Oreochromis niloticus: one gene and its partner. The protein of the gene in region 1 interacts with the protein of each later gene in a pairwise test. Links are inferred from orthologs where the notes say so. Each region holds a gene or a part of one and is shown on either strand. Other genes may lie near its edges. The genes, in order: fmr1 and pick1.

Region 1 (10,619 bases):
TTCGAGACGTCGGCAAAGGACCCGAGAGAAAGCCAGAACGTCAACTCGATCTTTATGTCCTTGGCCTGCCGTCTGAAGGCTCAGAAGTCCCTGCTCTACAGAGACGTGGAGAGAGAGGACGGGAGAGTGCGACTCACACAAGAGACTGAGACAAAGAGTAATTGTCCTTGTTGAGGAAAAAGAGGAGCGGGTGGCATAGCGGAAGGGAGGAGAGAAGAGTATCTCTACATTTGAAGAAGGAAGAGGAAAAGGGATGATGGGCGAAAGACGAGAGTCATTTAAATTTGTAGTTTAGGAGAAGGATGGAGGGGTGGGGGTGTTAAAGCTGATACTATGAGGTGGACGGTAGAGGGGCTTAAAGCTTGTGCAAAGGACTGAAAAATCACCAACATCCTGAGAGTGATGCGTTTGTTAACAATTCAGAAATAAGATGAAGCTGCCTTTTCAACTACAGTAAAGTTTAGAAATTCTTCCACTCATTTGCACATATATACACAATCTGAGTGAAATCTAGTTTCTTATGACGTCAGCGACACAGAGTCTCCACGCAAAGCTTACCCTGAAACCAGCCGTAGCTCGATGTTTTCCAAGGCCATTATTAACCGCAGCAGCTTATTTTACCGGCTGTTTTTTGCTGTCAGAGCTTAATATTTGTCGCATTTCACCCTTGTTGTGATTGCACCATTTCTACCACCTTAAAAGCTAAACAGCTGGCTCTAAATTAGTTTTAATGACCCGCTGAGGCAAAAACAGCAAAGATGTTTTAAGGATTTAAAAAAGCATTTAACAGATTCTTTTTTTTCTGAGAAATATTAGACTTTTATTGTCTCCCCCCCCCCCTCCTTCCATTTATGTTGCCTGATATCAGCCTATCACAAGCCCTCAAATGAAGGACTTAAAATCATTGTGAGATTTAAATGAATGGAGAAGATGACAGATTGCAGGATCTACAGAGGAAGACCTTGACGAGAAGGTTTCCTGCAAACGGGCCATTTATAGGTTGCCGGAGAGCATGTCAGCTATTGATTTAGAAGCTGTGAGATCCTTTTACCCTTATGCAGGTGAAAGGCACTCTCCTACAAAGGGGAGGCAAGGCTCTTGTTTCTCATCCACTCCTCATGTAAATGTATCTTCTCCATGTTGTCCCAGTGGCCTAAGCCAGCTTTGCCACTGGATGTAAATTCAAAAACATCAAGTCTTTAAAATAGCTGCCCGACTCTCTCCTGTTATGCAGCATCAATGTTCTAATAGGTAGTTTTCAAGCTAGAGGCCTTCTAGCTGCCTTAGATGAAGCTTCACTGCCTCCAGTCTCTGAAAATGCAGGAGAGAAAACTGTGAACCCTGTGTAGGTGACGGAGAGGCCTTTGTGCTGCTGAACCCTTAAGCCTGGATTATTCGAGTCACTGGTGAAACTGGCAGCATGAGACACTGTAGAAAGCCATATTTAATATTTCCTGCACACAGAGAGGCAGCTTGCTTTGCACTGAGGAAGCTCCCATGTAGGCTGTGGGTGAAGGAACACACTGTACATAAATCAGTGTTTAAGCAATGAAGCCTCTGTGTCACAAGAAACCATCCAACATCCCGACTGTGGTGTATGTCAGTTTGATATAGTAGCACACTTAGCATATTTTACCACTGTAGCCTACTCTTGTGTGATTCTATTAATGTATCTGGATGCCATATGTAGAAGAATCAGATCAGCGAGCATTTAAGAGCGGCGTTCCCTCCAAGCTGACAGTCTGATGTCCTGATTAAATTATTCACAGGCTGAATCTGAACACTGTGCAAATCCAGAGGGCTTCTGCCTGAGGTGTGCCATGGTTTGGCGATCTTTCATACAGGTTTACGAACGGTGCAAAAGTCTTCAGCCACAAATAGTTATGAAATAGTCCTAGTCATTTCATAGCAATAAAATGGTATTTTTCCGCCACAAGGTGATTCTTAAAGTGCTATTTCGGCATGGTGTGCAGTCTGCCCTTAAAAAAATATGAGGCAAATGGACGAATGGAGGCAGGTCTTAAAAGCTCTACTGCAGATATCTGAAAGTCATTTCCTTAAGAAATAGGCAAAATCAACCAAAGACCCGACACAGGATTTTCAGTTGATCCACCGACTGTTTGCCAAAGCCTCATCAGAAATGGTTTCAGTGGAAAGGCAGATGTCAAGAAGCTTCCTAAAGAAAGGAAACAGGGACTAAAATGTGCCAAATTACACAAAAGCTGTGATAAAAATCAGTAGAGACAGGTCTTATTGACCGATGAATCCAAATGTAACATTTTTGGTGTAACTCATTGTCAGCAGGCACAGCGGAGGCCAGGAGAAATGGGCCCACTGTGCAATACCATCTGGAAAGCTCTGCTTGGCAATTTCATTTTTGAGCATGACAATGATCCAAAACACACTATCAATGCCATAAAATTAGAAATTAGAATTGATTAGAAAAACACACATTCGTGGATTGGCCTCCCAAGAGCCCAGACTTCAACCTTCCTGAAGCAGTGTGGGATCATCTTAGTTAATGTATTTCTGTGTATGTGTGCACCTTTCAAATTGCTACACCCATTTTCCATTTTCCTACCAAAATATAAAGAAATGAGGGCCGGCTCGAGACTTTTGCACAGTTCTAACAGCAGGATCGAACAGAACAGTGAATCAAATGACATTACTGTAAAATATCAGGAAGAGCTCTGTTCATTCTCCTTATATGGGCTAATCTGTGACTTCTTTTGTTTGTTTGTTTATTTGTTTTTAATCTCCATAAATGGCATCCACAGGTGCGCCTCAACCACAGCTGGGGAAACCACTACGTTCAGGACTGATGGAGCGGTATCCCAGGACATAAAATGTAAAAGGAATTGTTCATCCTTTAAATTTTAATACATTAACATCAACAGCTTTGTCCATCAGTGGGTTATTGTAAGAATGCTAATTTAGTCAGTGTCATACAAGTGGGATGACTGAACAAGACTAATGAGCAGAAAAACACTGTGGAAAAAAGAAAAATGTGTCTGCATTTCTGTTAGCAGATTTGAATAAAGCGGCAACTAACATGGTTTCAAATGAATAGAAAAGAAAATGAAGCTATAGTTCAGTTGTTTTCACTGTCATCAACCAAACATATATATCACTGTTTATGAAATTATTCAGCAGTTTATGTCATTTACTAGAAAATGTAACATCGCTTAACAAAAGTTCAGTTTTAACCATTTAAAACTGCAAAATGTGCATTTTTCCAGGTCGAAGAGTTGCAAATATATGCTTGCCTTCTCTTTTCTCTATATCTCCAGTGTGTTTTCTAATATATTTGTACTTTTTTGCAGTTGATTTGTGTCATTTTTAATAACCCATGTTTGCTCTTAAAGGGTTGCCTTGGCATTTTGATATTTAGTCTGGTATTATTGTTTATCTGCAAAACGTCTGTATGTGGAAAATAATAAATATCAAATACACTTTGAAGCATATATCATTCTAAGAACACACAAACGTCGATGAGCAACTTGAACAAGCCAAAATTAAACAAGTTAGACATCACAGTTCATTATTTGATTTACTGTTTTAAGTGAATTAGGTTCTTTTTTTCTTTTTTTTTTAGAAAACATGTTTTTGGTATCTTTAAATCCTTAAGCACGTGTATTAGCTTTAGCATTACAGTCAATGTTCAGATGAATGTGGTCTTTCTTCGCTTAAGAATTAAAGTAAAGTTAGCTGCAGTCCTACAGAGTATCAGGATATTGGTTTTATACATTACCTACTTGCAGTGCTAACACAACTTAGCCCGTGGTAGCTTAAATCAAAGCGCTAGTTTATTTGCTAGCTTATTTGCTAGCTAGCCAGCTCATTATTAGCTAAACTCTCACTAATTTAAAGAACATTTTAACGATTTTTACTCTGTTAAAAATGATAACACCACAATATTTAGGATGTCTCTGGTTTTATACAATAATACAAATTGTTATTTCGCTTTATTATCTAAAACAGTGTTTGTCTTTGGTACTATCTACAGCAGCAGTCCCCAACCTTTTTTTGGGCCGCGGACGGTTGTTTGACAATATTTTCACGGACCGGTCTTTAAGGTGTCACAGATAAATACAACAAAATAAAACCAGTGCCGGTACCAAAAAAAAAGAAGCTTTATTCATAACACACGCAACAAGACCCAGGGAAACTGAGTTAACGATAATAAACGATAAAAACCCTGAAAACCATACATTTCACACCCGAGCCTCAACTCTCGCGGCCGGGTAACAAACAACTCCGCTCCGTGGCCCGGGGGATGGGAACTGCTGATTTACAGCATCTTTGAGTGACACAGGCTCGAATCAGACCTGAGGACTCAAATCCATGTTTCTTCCATCTGTTCTTCTGTCATTCCACACAGTGTGGTGGCTGTAGCCTATCCCATTTGCAATAGGGCAAGAGGAGAGGTACACCCTGGACAGGGCTAATTCAATTTCTTTACACCCACTGGAGCTCAGTGTAAGTTAACAGAAGTCAGCGTTCCTTGTTTGATGACTCTTCAGACTGATGGACGTTGCTGACAGGGATTTGAACGCACTGCGCCCCATTTAATCAATACTATAAAGACTAAAACCCAGAATACTGAATCGCTCTTTTTGAAAAAGCCTGAAGAGTCGTGTTGGCTGATTTTATGGTATTGTAATTTTGTTAGATCCTGTAAATCTGTGGTGACTTTTGTTTTTGCCTGTCAGTTTACTCTGCTTTTGGACTGTGTGTGATTCTCCTCTTCTGTACATATGTTTCATATGTAACACTGTTATTGTTACAATCTCACAAAGAAACTTACGATAAAACTGCTGAAGAAGCATCGCTTGACTCTGAACCTTTTTCGTATCACTGCCCTTGAATTGGTTGCTTTAAAAACAGTGATCAGATATGCAAACACTCGCAGTCAGCTGCAACCTTAGGTGCATCAAGACCATGATGAAAAGGCAATAAGATAGAGTCAGTCTCTTATCAGTCTATTTTCAGTAATAATTTGATGAACTCTCAGCGAGTCCAGTCAGACCTTCATTTTTGAGACCTAAGTTCAAAAATTCATCTGCAAAAAGTGACGTAGTTGCTGCAAGACAGATATTTAAATGCAAAATGACAGGAGTGCTTGGCAGCCATGCTTTTGCACACAAATATAACCAGAATACAACCATGTTAGCTGAGCTGCATCACAGGCAGTTTACAGTCATCAGTCCAAACTGACTCCGACTGATTGCAAAGTGCTGCCAGTCTGTTTCCTTTGCAAGGAAGTTGTCGTCCTATTACTTTGTAGAGTTTAGCTTATGTGCCTGTGCCAACAGCATGGTGTGTTCAGTATTCAGTGTTTCCCTCGCACGCAGAACTCAGAATTTCCCGTCTGTTTATCCGTTCTCTTGCTCTTTGTCCTGTATCTTATTTCACCCTTCATGTATGACCCTGTTTCTGCCGCACTCTCATTCTATTTCTGTCTTAATCTCACTATAGATTATCCCTGTAAGTCACTCTATGGTCCTCTCATATGTCACTGTCAGCACTTCTTCATTTACCTGTCTGTAGTCTGTCTGCATCTTTCCCTTCTTTTTCTCTCCCTCTCTTAACATGTGGCCTGTTGCAGTTCCTTGTTTTTGCCTACAAAGTATAATTCTCAAGAAGGTCATATGTCCATAAATAGATGTAGCAGATGAGTGCTGCTGAGTGTTGAGAGAATGAGAGGTTTATAGAGGAAAAACATGAGGTTTTAACTGATCCTTAACACTGAATCTGCAGGCCTCTGTATTAAAATCTGTACATTTATCCATGCCATGCCTTGCTGTTAAATGTAACAAACGTCTTTAAGCATAAAAAGGCATGTGCCCTGACTTTAAAACATAGTTATTATAGTTATGTTTTCGGTTTCCAGGCAAAACTATTTTGGAGTGGATGACGTGGTTTGGCATGTCAGCTTTCAAGAGACAGTCCTCAGAAACAACAGGCAGTAATGAGTAAGTCTGAGTCTAAATATATATTGTATATTACATTAGATTAGATTCATTAGATATTAGTGGAACATTTAATGAGAACACCTTGGTTGCTGTCCTAGGTTCTGAAATCTCTCATTTTAATGTGTTATTATATTAGATAGATATATAGATACTTTATTGATCCCATGGGGGAAATTATTGTTACAACCTTGTGATAAAGAATAAAAATAGTACCGTGTACAATAAACATCAAATAAACAACACATGAGGAGCCAAAGTTCTTTGCAACAGATTTCAGTAGTTAGTTAAAGATAAGTATTGTGTTTGTGAATGCACATTGTAAAAACAAGTGAGGAAAAAGAGCAAGGTGGAATAGTTGAAATGTGGCTTGATAAATATGGAGAGGGATAAATTTGCTGTTTTCCCGGAGGGACTGGTTGGCCGTGCTGTTGGGAAAATATATTTTTTCATTTGTTCTTAGAGCTCAAATATGGTACACCACAGGATAAACACAGTGGTCATTTTTATTTTGATATATTTCCTGCTATATCAAATGGCATTCCTATTTATTACCCGTGGAGAGCAGCAACAGGCTCGGATGAGAGTAAGCAGCCTCAGTTTTCAGTAGAGGAAGAAAGCGGAGACGTCACATGGAGAGATACAACAGCAGTAGCTGCTACACCACTAATCACACAACATTAACATAACTAGCTACTAAAAGCTAACCTGGCTAGCTAATTGCTTCGTCTTCTTCATGAAGTCGGATTTGCAAATTTGCAAGAAACAAATTTCATAGACGGTGCAAAGCGGAAAACAATATTACGGTCACACACAGCTACTGTGGCCTCTTCTTGCATCCAGTAGGCAGGGTATTTAGGCTAGCTAGCGACTCTGCCTTGGCTAGCGTCAGGCTAGCCAGCTAGCTAGCTAGCTACTAACATCGCTATCGGTAGTTAGCTAGCTAGCGAGCTGTAGTAACTTACGTCATGGAGGAACTAGTCGTGGAAGTAAGAGGGACAAGTGGGGCTTTTTATAAGGTAAGTTGTTGACTTTTGTCGAGTTTTGTGACCACCGTTCACACACTATGTACCAAGTAAGCCTAACTAACATGAATTTGTGTCACGGGGCTAGCTTAGTGTTATATGTGGGCCTCGGTGCTTCTGCTCAACGTCTACCGGGACCTGAAACGTGTAAACAAAGCTAACGCTGCGGTGGGGCTCTAACATCAGCGGTAGTGGATAAATTGGTGAACTATTGGTGATCATGACGCTTAACCAGGGTAGCTGTTTAAGCGGTATCGGTAACGCTGATGTGACTGCTATACGATGGTACCCCTAAAGTGATGTGCAAGGATTGGTTGCAGACTCACAAACATCAGAATCAATCATGGGTTGGCTGTTTTTTGTTTTTTGCTTTGGTCAAAGTAAGTTAATTCAGAGTAGCACACAGGGGTGATGGTTTGGCTAACCTTTATTGTGCCCGTAGCTGCCAGGTGTTTTCTTGTTTTGTCAAGACTGCAGAGATTTTGGGGTCAGTCAACAAGTAGATCATAAATCCGATCCCGTGACCTGCGTGTATCACTGGGGTGGGGTGGGGGAGATAACATAAGCAGTACAATGGGATAACACGCTAATTAGCAATAATTACTTACATTTGAATATTGGTCAATTCAAGGACACAAGAATAAAATGACTTATGGTGAAGGATCTAAATAAAATGATACATTTATTATTTATTTATTGTACAGCTGTCAGGTTTGTTGTGGGATAAATATAGGATGACATGTATCGCAAGTAAAGTTCTGACAGATGTCTTTTTAAAACTAATAGTTTTGTTGTGGCCACATTAATGCGAGGTACATGAATGCTGTGAGTATGCTGTATAATCAGGGTAATTAGTAATTGAAATTAATCTTGATTCAGGCCACAGACCCTCATTAAGCTCAGCGGTTGCCATGTAAATCATAGACTTCTCATGCTGTGTTCAATACTTGTATACTTTCCCAAATCAAGAGGCTTTTCCTTTGAATGTAGGAAAGTTGAAGTTGGCACTGTCAGTTGTACTTTGGCTTTTAGCTAGGTGTGGCACGAGACAGAAACCATTCTTTTAATAGTTGTAATCATATTGTTAGCAAGTACAGAACCATATAAATGGGTGGGTGTGTCCGAATATTTGAATGGTGCTGTAGCTTGAATGATAAGTTTTACTGTCAAACAGCAATGAGAAAAGTTAGGCTAATTATTGTTAGATGGTAGTCTGGTTTGAAAAAATCCAGTCCCACCAGGTAACTCTTAAGAGTACTTTTATTAGCCATACATCTATCATAACCTACATGTATACCACTGTTATATTTAATGTATTTTACTATGTAGATCGATCTAATAAGATGACGTAGGTGTGACTCCTTACAAGTATAAGCAGATACACGACAAGAGGGCGACTTTGGCAGAGGTCTTTCTGTTCATCAGAAAATGCCCAGTGTATTCACAGAGGCTTATTCAGAGTGTTTAAAACTTAGGCAGTTTGTTTTTCTCTTGGCCCAGTATGATGTCACTGAGAGCAAATATCCCTAATATTGTCATCTTAGGTACACAGTTCTGACTGAAACCCCACCCACCTGCTGTTCACACCTTCTGTTTGCCAGGGGCTGGCTGGCAGACAGTTGGCCTAATATGAGTGGAGCTAAAACAGTTTTAAGATGAATTGAGCTGCACCAGCAAGAGATAAATGTGGATTATTTTCAATTGTGAATCATGCAAAGCTAGTGTAGTAGACTGTAGTCGAGTAAAAGGAATAGTGTAATAGGTCCACTTTAAAGGAGACTTATTTACAGAGCAGTTACCTTTGCTAGATGGCAGCATACCTCCAACACAGGGAGTTGGATCTTACTGCAGATCACTTGCATGATTTCAATGTTAATAAGCATTCAAATTTTGGTTAATGAATCAAGAGTTTTGAACGTAATCATTTTAGTTAGTTGTTGTGATGATGTTGATTGACTAAATGTGTAGTTGGCAAATAATTTTTTATAGTGTTTTTAATAATAGTTGAACTGGAAAATGACACCCTTGTCTCTGGCATTATAGCAGAATTTAAAATATGCTCTTGGCTGAAATGAACATATTAAAAATAATGAGTGCATTCATCTGCCAAGTGAGAATAATACTATAGAAATAATTGTAGAAAATGGTTCTGCCATAAATCACTTGAGTGAGAAACTTAATTTTGCTGTTTTTAAATTGCACCTTATGCAGTATAGAAGTCATTGCTCTTTTTTATTGTAATCTCAACAGCAGTACAACAATTGCAGTTTACTGCCAGTAGACTAAACTACATTATCTCCTAATGCACCCTCTGCCTTACCCTCATATTTTGTGTTTTGGTATTTTTCCGGTTTTAACAAGATTAATGTTCTTGCTAAAGTCTGAACTTGGTTCCTGAACTAGACAGTCAGTCAGTCACAATCCTAAACACGCTCACAGGTCAGTGAGGTCCTGTCAGAATTGGTTTATTTGTTTTTTTAACCTTGGGAGTTTTGAGAAGCTCTCTTTCTTGCTTCCTTCTTGCTTCATTTCATCCACCACTGACTGCTAGCTTGCCAGGTTAATGCAACCCATTGGCAAGGCTCTCTAGCGCTCTCTTTTCCTTCTAGGCATCGCATGGCCTACTTGCAGTGTTTGACACACATGACACACACATCAGCTGTGTGTAGAACCAGCGAGAGAGAGAGAGACTGAGCCAAACCTGACTCGAGCCCAAAGCTCAAACTCCAGAAAAGGAAATTATTTAGGTTGTTTCATTCCTAGGAGCATTAGGATAAGGTCAGGCTTAAGCAGTAGAACTGGTTCCTGTTTACATGGTCGATGCCAGTTTGACTTGCGCACTGACTATTTCAAAGATATGTCAAAACTGAATTTACTTCTGTGACTCTTGCAGGCCTTTGTAAAGGATGTTCACGAAGGATCTGTCACGGTAGCATTTGAAAACAAGTGAGTAAAGTAAAATATAACATTGTGTAATATGTCATGTCTTTGGCAAACAATAAAATGAACTTTTTGTGTTTGTTCCTCTGTCCCAGCTGGCAGCCGGAGCGGCAGATCCCATTCCAGGATGTGCGCTTTCCTCCTCCAACAGGGTTCTGCAAGGAGATCAGTGAGAGCGATGAGGTCGAGGTGAGAAAGTGATTGTTGCCGTCAGACATGGTGGGTTTGGAAAGCAAAGTTGGTATAGCTGGGGAGCAGGGTAACTTTGGAATAGCATGGAGCGGAGTGAGTAGAGTTGAATTTTCAGCGTAAAATAAAATTTAAAAAAGAGTGATGCTCCTCACATAGTCTGAGATTATCTGTTCTATCGATGGTAAATTAGTCTGACTTATTATTTTTATCAATAATATTATTCACAATGATTTCCTGTATCAGTGTGTCAGTTGTTTCTGTGCCAGTTTACTCGTATCAGCTTTGTTTAAAGATGGGAATGATTTCTGAAATGAGCTGTGTGTGTGTATGTGTGTGTGTGTGTGTCTGTCAGGTGTATTCTAGGGCGAATGACAAAGAGCCATGTGGATGGTGGTTAGCCAAGGTTCGCATGGTCAAAGGGGAGGTAAGACATGCTCCAGTTCATCTGTAAGGCTCACCAAGCAGCACTGAAGCAACATGACTGTGTTAA
Region 2 (11,073 bases), on another chromosome or scaffold:
CAGTTAAGTCTGTCCCGTATTCAGCAAGTGAAAATAAAATAAACAATAAAAGGTGAATCAAATGGACCATTACGGCAAGGCTGGGATGGTCAATTTGGTAAAGTAAATCCGTTGGGCATCTTTCTTCGCCTTTAGACAATAATCCTGATGGCAAAAGAACCAAATGGGACAGGTAAAAAAAAAAAAAAAAAAAAAAAAAAAAAGACTCACTATGCCACCAGTTGTATGCATGTGCACTACAAATGGGTGACGGCTAAGCAGAAAACAATGTCGTAATTCTCTCTCTGAAGAGAAGGGTTTCAAGGATGAGCTGAAGGTATAGACTCACCTGATGTGTTGAGAAATTTTCTTTGTCTCTGAGTTTGGTTAAGGCATATAAGACATGAGCAACCGCGCCCATTTTCAGAGACTGCTTAGGTGATTGACCAGAGTCTCTCCATATTGCAATGTTATTAAACTCACTTCAAATCATGCTCACTGAGGTGTTTGCAGGTTTTATTTAAAATTTCCACAACATAATTCAGTAGGATTCCAATGCTAGATGGCTTTATTGATTTGACTGATATATGATATATTTCAGGGGTGGCCAACTCCAGGACTATTTTTTTTTTTGACTATTTTTTGTGTTTGGAACTTAAAAGGCCGTAACAGTCTTGTTTTATTGTCTTTGAAGGGTTGCAGCCTAATCTGTATCAGTAAAGCTGTGTGAGAGAACAAGTCCAATCAAATATATCAGGGGTGGCCAACTCCAGGCCTCAAGAGCCAGTGTTCTGCAGGTTTTAGATAACACCCTCGGTCAAAACACCCAAACCATTAGTTCATTATCAGGCCTCTGGAGAATTTCAAGAAATGTTGAGGAGGTAATTTAGCCATTTGAATCAGCTGTGATGGATCAAGGACACATCTATAACCTGCAGGACACTGGCTCTCGAGGCCTGGAGCGGCCCATCCCTGATATATTTGATTGTTGTTCTCTCACACAGCTTTACTGATACAGATTAGGCTGCAACCCTTTAAAGATAATAAAACAAGACTGTTACGGCCTTTTAAGTTCCAAACACAAAAAATAGTCCAAGAAAAGGCCATGGGTGGCAGCGGGAGGTTTGTTTTAGAACGCAATTCTGACTTCATTGTTAAAAATTATATGGCATTTATTTCGTAGAGAAATATAAACAAAAATCAACCAAATAATTTCTTACAACTTAAAATTAAATGAAAGTTAATTTAATCTGCTTTAACAAGTTCAAAAAGTGCTCAAAAAATCATTTTAAACCCTCTCATCGTCCCATCTGACATTTGGCAAACAAAAATCATTTTTCCTACAACCCTCCTTGATTAATGAGAGGGTCCAGAAGTTAATAAACCAATCACTTTCCAAAAAACATTTCCAAAAGTAAAATAAATTACAAAGACCATTTGAGTTTTGCACAGTATCATATATACAGTATATGCACAAACTAAACTTACCAAACAGTCCTACAGATAATTGAATACATGGGAGGAAACTGTTTAAACACAGCTACCATCTTTCTTCTTGGGAGACAAAAGGTAACTTATTTAAAGTAAGAAACCAATTTTAACATAACAAAAACACCTTAGTAGTTACAGCGCCAAATCACAACAACAGTTGCCTCAAGGTGCTTTATATTGTAAGGTAGACCCTACAATAATACATACAGAAAAAACAGCAATCATATGACCACCTATGAGCAAGCACTTTGACAACAGTGGGAAGGAAAAACTCTTTTAACAGGAAGAAACTTCCAGCAGAACCAGACTCAGGGAGGGGCGGGGCCATCTGCTGCGATCGTTTGAGGTGAGAGAAGGAAGACAGGATAAAAAACATGCTGTGGAAGAGAGCCAGAGATTAATAACGGGTATGATTCAATGCAGAGAGGTCTATTAACAGACCTTCTTCAGAATAGATATTCCTGTGTGAATATCTTGTAAAAACAGGCATGCACTTCACCACAACCACTCAAAAAACTCAACTCAAAAACTAAAAAAACCCACCATACCCATGTTACAAGATACACAACATCTACAGCAATATTTAGTTAAAGAGAGTTTTTTCATGGTTCAGGGGTTGCTCTGCAGAGGATGGTTGATGCTAAAGTGTACAATTTGCCAGAATTAGCCCATTAAAATGAAGAATGTTCCCTTTTTTAAAGAAGGAAAAGACATTTAGTCTTTTCATTTAAATATATATCTTTAAACTGCTTAAAAATATAACCTGACGTTATGCTAGCTTCTAGCTTTGCTTGAAAGTGTTAAAAATAAACCAGATGACACAAACTAAAAAACTTAAAAGTCAACCAAACGCATCCAGAGGTTGAGGGATATGAGCAAGGAATGAACAATCTTTACAATGGATCTCTCTGCATCCTTCAAAATAACCCCTTTTATTTTCTACTCCGCTCAAGCTCTCAGATCCACATTATTCAGCTCAAGTTGCTGAGAAATACATTATTAGAATGAGAAGAAGACTTGAGAATGAATGAGCGTTTTTAGTTTAGCACAAGTATTTTACTGTTTATTAGTGTTAATATTTTCAGTTCCACCTGGAGGTCACCTGGGTCAAATATGCCCATAATTCCCTAACCTCCTCTTCCACCAGGTTGTGTTCATTCAAAGCCTATCTAGGGTAAACTGCTGATCTTTTTTAGCCTTAATTGCCTGTTCGATCAATCCCACTCCATCTTCATTGCTGTTGGCATCTGTGGAAGTACATGAAAACAGCCTTGCTGCAAACAGCAGAACAGAATAAGCAGGTGACAGATCGTTGTTGGACCGTCTATGCTGCAGGTCAAAAGGTTTTTTTTCCCTCTAAAAATATTCTCTCACAAACTGAGTCTAACAAACCAAATTTCATTGGACCATTTAAAATAGACACCATAGTTAACCCTGCCTCTGGATCAAACTATGGATCAAATTGGATCATTCTGTGGATGGATCAAGGATCAAACTGTGCTCCTCATGCTATTCCTGAGCCATTTCTGTTTTGTGGCAGGGCACATTATTGTGATGAAAGAGGCCAAAGCCATCAGGGAGTACTGTTTCCATGAAAGGATGTTCATGGTCCATAACAGTGCTTAGGTAGGCAGTACATGTCAAAGTAAAGTCCGCATGGATGGCAGGATCTAAAGCTTCCCGGCAGAACATTTCCCAAAGCATCACACTGCCTCCGCCAGCTTGCCTTCTTCCAATAGTGCATCCTGGTACCAGGTGTTGCCCAGTTAAGCAATGCAAACTCACCCGGTCCTCCAGGTGATGTAAACGAGAACCTGATTGATGAGACCAGGCCACCCTCTTCCATTCTTCTGTGGTCCAGTTCTGGTGCTGTGTTGGACAGGGGTCAGCATGGGCACCCTGAGTGGTCTGTGGCCATGCAGCCCTATATGCACCAAACTGTTATGTGTATTCTGACACCTTTCTGTCAGAACCACCATGAACTTTTTTTTTGATAATCTGCTTTAAAGTAGCTCATCTCGAAATACACAAGCCAGCCAATGAGACTTGGGTCCCCATGACCCTGTTACTGATTCATCACTGTTTCTTTCTTGGACAACATTTGATAGATACTGACAAATGCAGACCAGGGACGCCCCAAAAGAGCTGTACTTTTAGAGATGCTGTGACTCAGTCGTCTACCCATCACAATTTGTTCCTTGTCAAACTTACTCAAATCCTTACTATTACACATTTTTCCTGCTTCTAACACATCAATTTGAGGATGAATAATTCACTTTCTACCTAATATATAGGAGTGAATTTTTAAAAAAAACTATCGATTTTCTGATCCAAATCTTAGTTTGAATAATGTGAAATCAATTAATTAAATCCTCAATGGATTTTTAAATATAAGTGTATTTTGCCAGAAATGCCAAAATATCAGGTGTAAGCTCACAAACAATTTTAAAAAAAACCCAGCTAAAACGGCAAATGAGAGCAGGTAAAAGGATTCTACAAAAAGACGCTGTGCTTCACTTCAGCAGCATCAGGTAATGGTCATTTGTTGAGTCATGGTTTTCTTCAGTTTTTGTTCCACTGCAGAATATTTTTAAGGTTATCTGCTATTAAAAGCCAGGCCAGGAAAATCTCCTTCATATTTTTCAGTTTTATTCTCAGTTACTTTGACTCAAAGGCATCTGCTGTGATGTTTACACCTCTGAAGTCTCACAAGTATGAGATATGTTTTTATACATATATATAACTATATGGATATGTACTGTTAAATGATCAGAATTATAATGTGACTCAAAGACTGCAAGGTGCCCAGGTCCTGTGGCAAGTTTGGTTTTCACCAATTGTGTTGTGCATTACGGCCAAAAATCTTTGGTCTTTTCTGTCTAATTCAAATTGTTCTAAAAGTCTTGTGGTTTATTTACATCAAACTTTCCTAACTTAAGCTGTGTTGCCATGTAGAAGAAGCTTTCACTGACCACCATTCCAAGCACGCTATACTTTTAATCTTTTTTTTTTTTTTAATTGAACTGTCATGAACTTCAACACTTAATATGCCAACTGAGCAGCTACTTACTCTCCTGATTTCTATTGAAACAATAAGGGAGTCTAAAGCACTCTGAGCTGTTTGAGAGACCAGACTAGAGCTATGAAAGTCATGTGAAAAAGAAAGTTTCCACTGGACTCTGTGCAGTCCTGTACACCAAATCACCAGTTAACCTAACATGCATTTCAAAGGAAACTGGAAACCTATGGAGGCACAAGTAACATACAAACTCCACAAAGAAAAGTGTTAACCAGGAACCCTCGTGCCCCACATGCATTTTGTATCATTTGGAGCCATTTTTCTCTGCATGTTTTATCTGCATGTTTACATAACTATAAATAATCAGTCATTGGATTTAGCAAAGAACTAATATATTTGCATTTTCTTCTATTGTTCTGTATCATACTTTTACTCTTTCATGCCTCGACTTATACTGTGTTTGTGAGAGGCTGCAAAACCTTAAAGATGACAAAACATGATTATTTGACTGTAAACATTTTATATCATTTTTGCACAACAGGACATTTTAAATCACTTAAATGTATTAATTTCTCTTTATCTCTTAATGATTCTTCAGTCAATAACTGACTGTTATTGTAAGAATAACATTCAGACAGTCAAACCTCATCTATAACTAAAGTGTTAAACACAGCATCTGTTTACTACAGTTGTATCTCTTAGCAGATCTTAAAGGATTTCAGTTTGAAGTCCCCCGTGACTCTGATGTAGCTGATGGTACCCATACCAACACGATTTGGAAACTGGACTTCCTGTCCATCAGGAAGTTCCACCTCAAACATGTCTTCAGCCAGCTTCAACACAATCTGAAACAGAAGAAAAATTAATTCATAAGTAAACATTTTTTCCAAGACACAATCAATTGCAACCCAACTTGCATCGCCCAGCTTAATATCTGCAAGAGTATTAGTGTGTTTTTTGTGTTTTATGTGGGTAAATCAAATATCCATTTGATCCAATCAAAAACCTTTGTGATATTTTTAATACTCAGACACTCAGTACATCATCATTTACTTCGATCACATTCCCTCACCTTGACATCAGCACCCCTCTGTAGGGGGTTGTGAATTTCCCGTTTTTCATCGCCCCAGCAACCAGCAATCTTTGAGTTGCACACCAGCACAGCACCATCAGTGTCATCATGGAACCGAGGATTGAAGTGCAGTGCCAGGTCATCTGCATCACAGCCGAGATCAATCTGGAATCTGTTGATCAGACGTTGTACAAACTTGATTTTAATATCAATGGCTTGCAGAGCTTTGAACACATAGATCACACAGTGGAGTACAAAATATAATATAATTTGTAAAAGTCCACTTTGTGCTAGATTAGATTTTCCTACTGCAGGATTAACAGCATATGTAGCTTTCATTCAATTTATATGGTTACTGTATGGAAAAAATAAATGAGTTTTGTTAGCTTACCTCTCTGCATCATGCAGAATTACCCCTTTTATTTTCAGCTCATCTCCAGCTCTCAAATCCACATTCTTCAGTTCGAGTTCCTGAACACATGGTTAGAATATAACCTGAAGAAGTCTTGAGAATGAAATAACTTTGCATTTTCAGTTTTGCAAATAATTTATTAAAGGGTAAAATGTAGTTAATTTGCTGACATGTAGTGGCATACACAAACCTAAGCTTACCATACTCATACTGGTTGCTGGTGAACAGTCCTGGATGATGGAGTTTCAACAGAGGTACAGTCTACTGTGCTGGGAGAAAAAAAGGTAAATGGGGTAACTGTGAATTCTAGTTTATTTATGATGCAAGACATGAGTTTAAGTAAGATTCTCTTTTAACACTGACTCATTCAACATCATCATCATCTTTGCCAAATACTATATTCAGTACAAGCACTACTCTGTTTAATCACCTGTAACAGCAAATTAGTAAATGAACAAATTAATGTGCTTTTTCTATTTTTCATTGGAATTCATTTTGCACATTAATAAGGGCCTTCAATATACTGCAGATGACTCTAGAACAAAATAATCTATACTAGTGTACCATACCCATGCAATAAGTCTATTTTGCAACAATTGTATTTGTATGCTTCACAAATAAAATTTCTACAAACAAGATCATTAGTCAAATCTACATCCCTTTTCCCATCAAAAACAGTCTGTAATAATATTATATTTGACAAATTTCATGCAGGTGCAGGTTGACACTCTAACCACAGGATGGCAGTAAAACGCGTAGTCTAAGTTAGAAACAAGTGAATCCTGGAAGGACTTTGATTAAATCTGGAAAATACAATGACAGTGTTTTCATATGAGCTGATGAGAAGTTTAAAAGAAATAATCTGTATCATTTACACTGAGGAATATGGAATTATAGACTCTAAGACAAAACTAGAAAATGATCATCCAGTCCTTCCTTTGGTAATACGTCTTAACAACAACTTCCGTCATCCTGCCGGAAGTGACAAAATAAAGTAAATAGAAGCTGTCTTTAGATCGAGAAGTTGAGATAATTGCGAATAAAAAGGGCGATTCAACAAAAGATATTTTGATTTTATGCACACTAAAGAATATCTTTATGACGACTCTGTGCGACGTCTAAGAAAGGTAAATTGTTAATGGCCTGCTGACGTTTCAGGGGACAACATTAGCTAAATACACCTGCTATTAGCCTACAGGCTAGCAGCTAATAATCCAACTTACTGACCTCGGTCACTGTAATGAAATCTAACAGTGACTGGTTTGTGTGTGCATGCAGATATATTAAGTGCAACAGTTACATTAATTAAAACGTATTTAAATGGTTGTTGTTAGGATGTTAGCATGCACTGCGGGTTACCAGCTGTTTGCTCTGCTCCAGCGTTTCCTCACTGACTCCACAGCGATTAAATTTGCCGCATCAGGAAAGCAAAGCTGCCAATTTTGGTGATTGTCGATAGTCCATCTGATTATAGACTACTTTCAAATTCGCCGGTAGCTCAAACTCTTAAACGTGTTCTGATTGTCACTCTTTTAATGAGCGTTTCTTGGGTTTTCTGATCACTAGATCCAGTTAAAACTTCCTTTGATTTCTGTTTTATTGTACTCTGTCGCAGGTTTCTGAGGGACAGGAGTGACGCTGTCCTGCAATGTTCACAGATATGGACTATGAATTGGAGGAGGACAAACTGTGAGTCATTAATGAGCTTTCTCTACCCATCCAGGCGAATCACATATGCTTCTCATACATTATAAACATAAAACATTATTAAACATCTAAAACAGTAACTGATAGGGTGAATGTCTTGATATAAACTGTGATACAGTTCCCTCATTACAGAATGTCCCAGAATAAGCTGAACAAAATGCTTCAAAACTCAATTTAGTGTTTTTTTTTCTCTCTTAACAGGGGGATACCAACAGTGCCTGGGACTGTGACTCTGAAGAAAGATGCTAATAATCTTATAGGCATCAGCATTGGTGGTGGGGCTCAGTACTGCCCTTGCCTCTACATTGTTCAGGTGCACACAGAATAATTTATTATGACTTTATTTATTAAAATGTCATCTATAACCAGATATTTCTATCATGCTTTAAATGTTATAAGACTGTATCTGTCTCAGTTTGCTGTTGTTTGGCATATGGGTCATTAAATGCAGCTTTATCGCCTCTTTTTCAGGAAAAATAACTGTACTTTGTCACGGTTTTTTAAATGTGGTTGCTGTTGCTTTGCAGGTCTTTGATAACACACCAGCAGCTTTGGATGGGACGCTGGCAGCAGGTGATGAAATCACAGGTGTGAACGGGAAAGCAGTCAAGGGCAAAACTAAGGTGGAGGTGGCCAAGATGATTCAAGCTGTGCAGGTACACAGACTCTGAAAGTGGGAGGTTATTAAAAACTCAGCATTACACTATTGACCATAACTGCTATTTAACATTGAATATTACCAGTGTGATAATAATGCACACAGTTTAGAATAATAATACAGTCATTTGTGCATCTGTAGCTACAAAAACGCTCACCACTTCCATGCACACTGAAGAAAAAGATGCATTCGACTGATAGCTTTATTAGCCTTTTCAGATTTTTGGTAGTTGTTGTGATGTGATGATTATTTCCATGGATTATTTTGAATAAAATAATAGTATCATTGCAGTGAAAGTCTTATGACAGCCCTGTTGAAATAATGATGTTAACATGAGCTCTATTATTAAACTCCTGTTTTTAATCTTTTAAACCTAAAGACAGCGACTCATCATACTCACCCTCACCTCTGATGACCAATGCCCCATAATGAATAAAAAAAAGAACCAAACCATAGCTTTACTTGCATGTTGAAACACTGTGTGTCATTTAAAAGAAATTTTGAAAAGAATTCAAAGATGACTCACTTTTTTATGTCCAGCACAGTCCAACAGTTAGTGAGATATGAGTGTAAGCCCACCTTCCCACTGCAGACAGGACACTGTAGGAGTGACTTCACTGGTTTGCTAAGCTGTGCTGAAGAGGTCGGGACAATAGCCCGTAGCATGTGGCGTACCATCACCGGTGAATAGTGGCGCTGTTGTTTTTGGCATCCTTTGTTCACAACCCAAAAAATTCCATGACTTCCTGCGTGGTGGGATAAAGATGGGGTTCAGTGTGGGATTAAAAGGATTAGGTGGTGTTGCTGCTGCCCGTCACTGAAAATACATTTCACACTTAACACCATAAATGTTGCACATTATTAATTTTAACTTATGTACTAAGGTGAAATGTTACTTTCTTTGAAGCATGCATAGCAGTGCTTTGTACTGCATTCTTGCATAATCTCAACAAAAGCTAACACATAGTTCTATTTCTTATATTTAGTACTGCTACAATAGATGCTCTTCCTTTCACCATCCCATGTTTATATTTATTTATTTGGGTTATTTAACTGTTGATCCTATTTTCACAGGGAGAGGCAGTAATCCACTACAATAAGCTGCAGGCTGATCCAAAACAGGGGAAGTCTCTGGACATAGGTATTTATGTTTATGTTACTTCCTTTGAAGCGTGCACTGCAGTGCTGTGTACTGCATTCTTTCAGATTCTCAACAAATCTTTTTCACTGCTGCGTTAGTTTGTGTTAAACATTGATATTTTATATGTTTCAGTGCTGAAAAAAGTCAAACATCGACTTGTAGAGAATTTGAGCTCAGGAACAGCGGATGCTCTTGGACTCAGTAGAGCTATTCTATGCAATGGTAAGACTGCTAGGATGGTAACTGCAGGTTTGTTCATATCTACTTAGATTTAACTCGTTGTACTTTGCAGATGGACTTGTCAAAAGACTGGAAGAGCTGGAGAAAACGGCAGAGCTGTACAAAGGTAACGAATGATAAGATTCTTTACCTAAACAAGTTAATCATGTAGTGTGAAAACTCCATAATCACAGATATGAGAGAGCTTTTAATCCACAGAGATCCTGTTGTTCTCTGTTTGCGTTGCAGGGCTGATGGAGCACACGAAAAGACTACTGAGGGCGTTTTTTGAGCTTTCTCAAACCCACAGAGGTCAGTCACTATATCCAAAATCACAAATGATAAAAACAGTATTACACCAGTGGAATAATCCACTCTCACCCCAAGTGGAAGTTTGCTGTTGTTTTTTTCCTCAATAAAGGCTAAAACTTGGTGGAGCTTTTAGTTGAAACATGACCATAAAATGAATAAAAATGTCATGTTTTCATACAATGTCTGCTTGCTGGTGGAGTTGTATTTAATACTTTTTGTTTTCTAACTTTAGCAGATCTTTGCTCGTAGCTATATTTGAGAGGTTTCTGGTTTTGTCCCTTTGCAGCATTTGGAGATGTGTTTTCTGTCATCGGGGTACGAGAGCCCCAGGCTGCTGCCAGCGAGGCTTTTGTGAAGTTTGCTGATGCTCACCGCAACATTGAGAAATACGGCATTCAGCTACTAAAGACCATCAAACCTGTAAGTACAGATTTAACCCTTGTGTTGTCCACGGGTCATTTTTGTCCTCTACAGAAATCTTTTGCTATCAAAAATATGTTTTTTATTCATCAAATGGTCTGAAAATAACAGAAGTTATTCATTACTATACTATGCATGATTGGAATAAGTTTTAAGTAATTTGATTTATTTATGGGGTTTTTATTCGATTTTATAACACCTGTGGTCCTCGTGGACAAAAATGACCCCAAAGTACAAAGTGTTGCAAAAGGCCGTATTTTCACAACATACTGCTATCAAACATCTTTGATCTTGGATCACTGATGTTTGGGGTCAAGCACTGGTCATAACAACCACAACAACAACAACAACAGGCAGCACAATGAGGAGGCAGGTGCTCTATATTCAATAAAATGTTATTTATACTGCGCCAAATCAAAACAACAGTCGCATCAAAGTGCTTCGTATTGTAAGGTAGACCCTACAATAATACATACACAGAAAGTATGCTCACAAGCCTCCATTGCACTAGAGATTTGCATACTTTGATGAGCATACTTTTTTTTACCATGTTGTGCAAAGCAATGACCAGTAGGACAAAGCACATATTGTCCTCTAGTATAATGAGGAGGAAGAATCAATGTTCAGGAAGATCCAGGGTTAG

Evidence for each region.
Region 2: the proteins of fmr1 (region 1) and pick1 interact in a two-hybrid assay, tested with the Homo sapiens proteins (2 studies listed by BioGRID and IntAct). The link is inferred for Oreochromis niloticus from reciprocal best matches to the Homo sapiens genes FMR1 and PICK1.

Annotation. Positions count from the first base shown.
Region 1 is NC_031966.2:33,306,372-33,316,990, reverse strand, and holds the start of fmr1 (fragile X messenger ribonucleoprotein 1), read left to right. Parts: upstream 1-6,540; 5' UTR 6,541-6,940; coding exon 6,941-6,991; intron 6,992-9,890; coding exon 9,891-9,943; intron 9,944-10,032; coding exon 10,033-10,126; intron 10,127-10,481; coding exon 10,482-10,553; intron 10,554-10,619. Other genes in the region: rab33a (ras-related protein Rab-33A), read left to right, coding at 1-157, 2,778-2,845.
Region 2 is NC_031969.2:9,656,553-9,667,625, reverse strand, and holds the start of pick1 (PRKCA-binding protein), read left to right. Parts: upstream 1-6,933; 5' UTR 6,934-7,100; intron 7,101-7,332; exon of another isoform or gene 7,333-7,581; intron 7,582-7,588; 5' UTR 7,589-7,621; coding exon 7,622-7,662; intron 7,663-7,881; coding exon 7,882-7,993; intron 7,994-8,207; coding exon 8,208-8,336; intron 8,337-8,864; exon of another isoform or gene 8,865-9,287; intron 9,288-9,412; coding exon 9,413-9,479; intron 9,480-9,611; coding exon 9,612-9,701; intron 9,702-9,771; coding exon 9,772-9,825; intron 9,826-9,947; coding exon 9,948-10,010; intron 10,011-10,296; coding exon 10,297-10,430; intron 10,431-11,073. Other genes in the region: galectin-2, read right to left, coding at 5,188-5,334, 5,562-5,733, 5,953-6,032, 6,174-6,182. UniProt on the Homo sapiens protein: Probable adapter protein that bind to and organize the subcellular localization of a variety of membrane proteins containing some PDZ recognition sequence.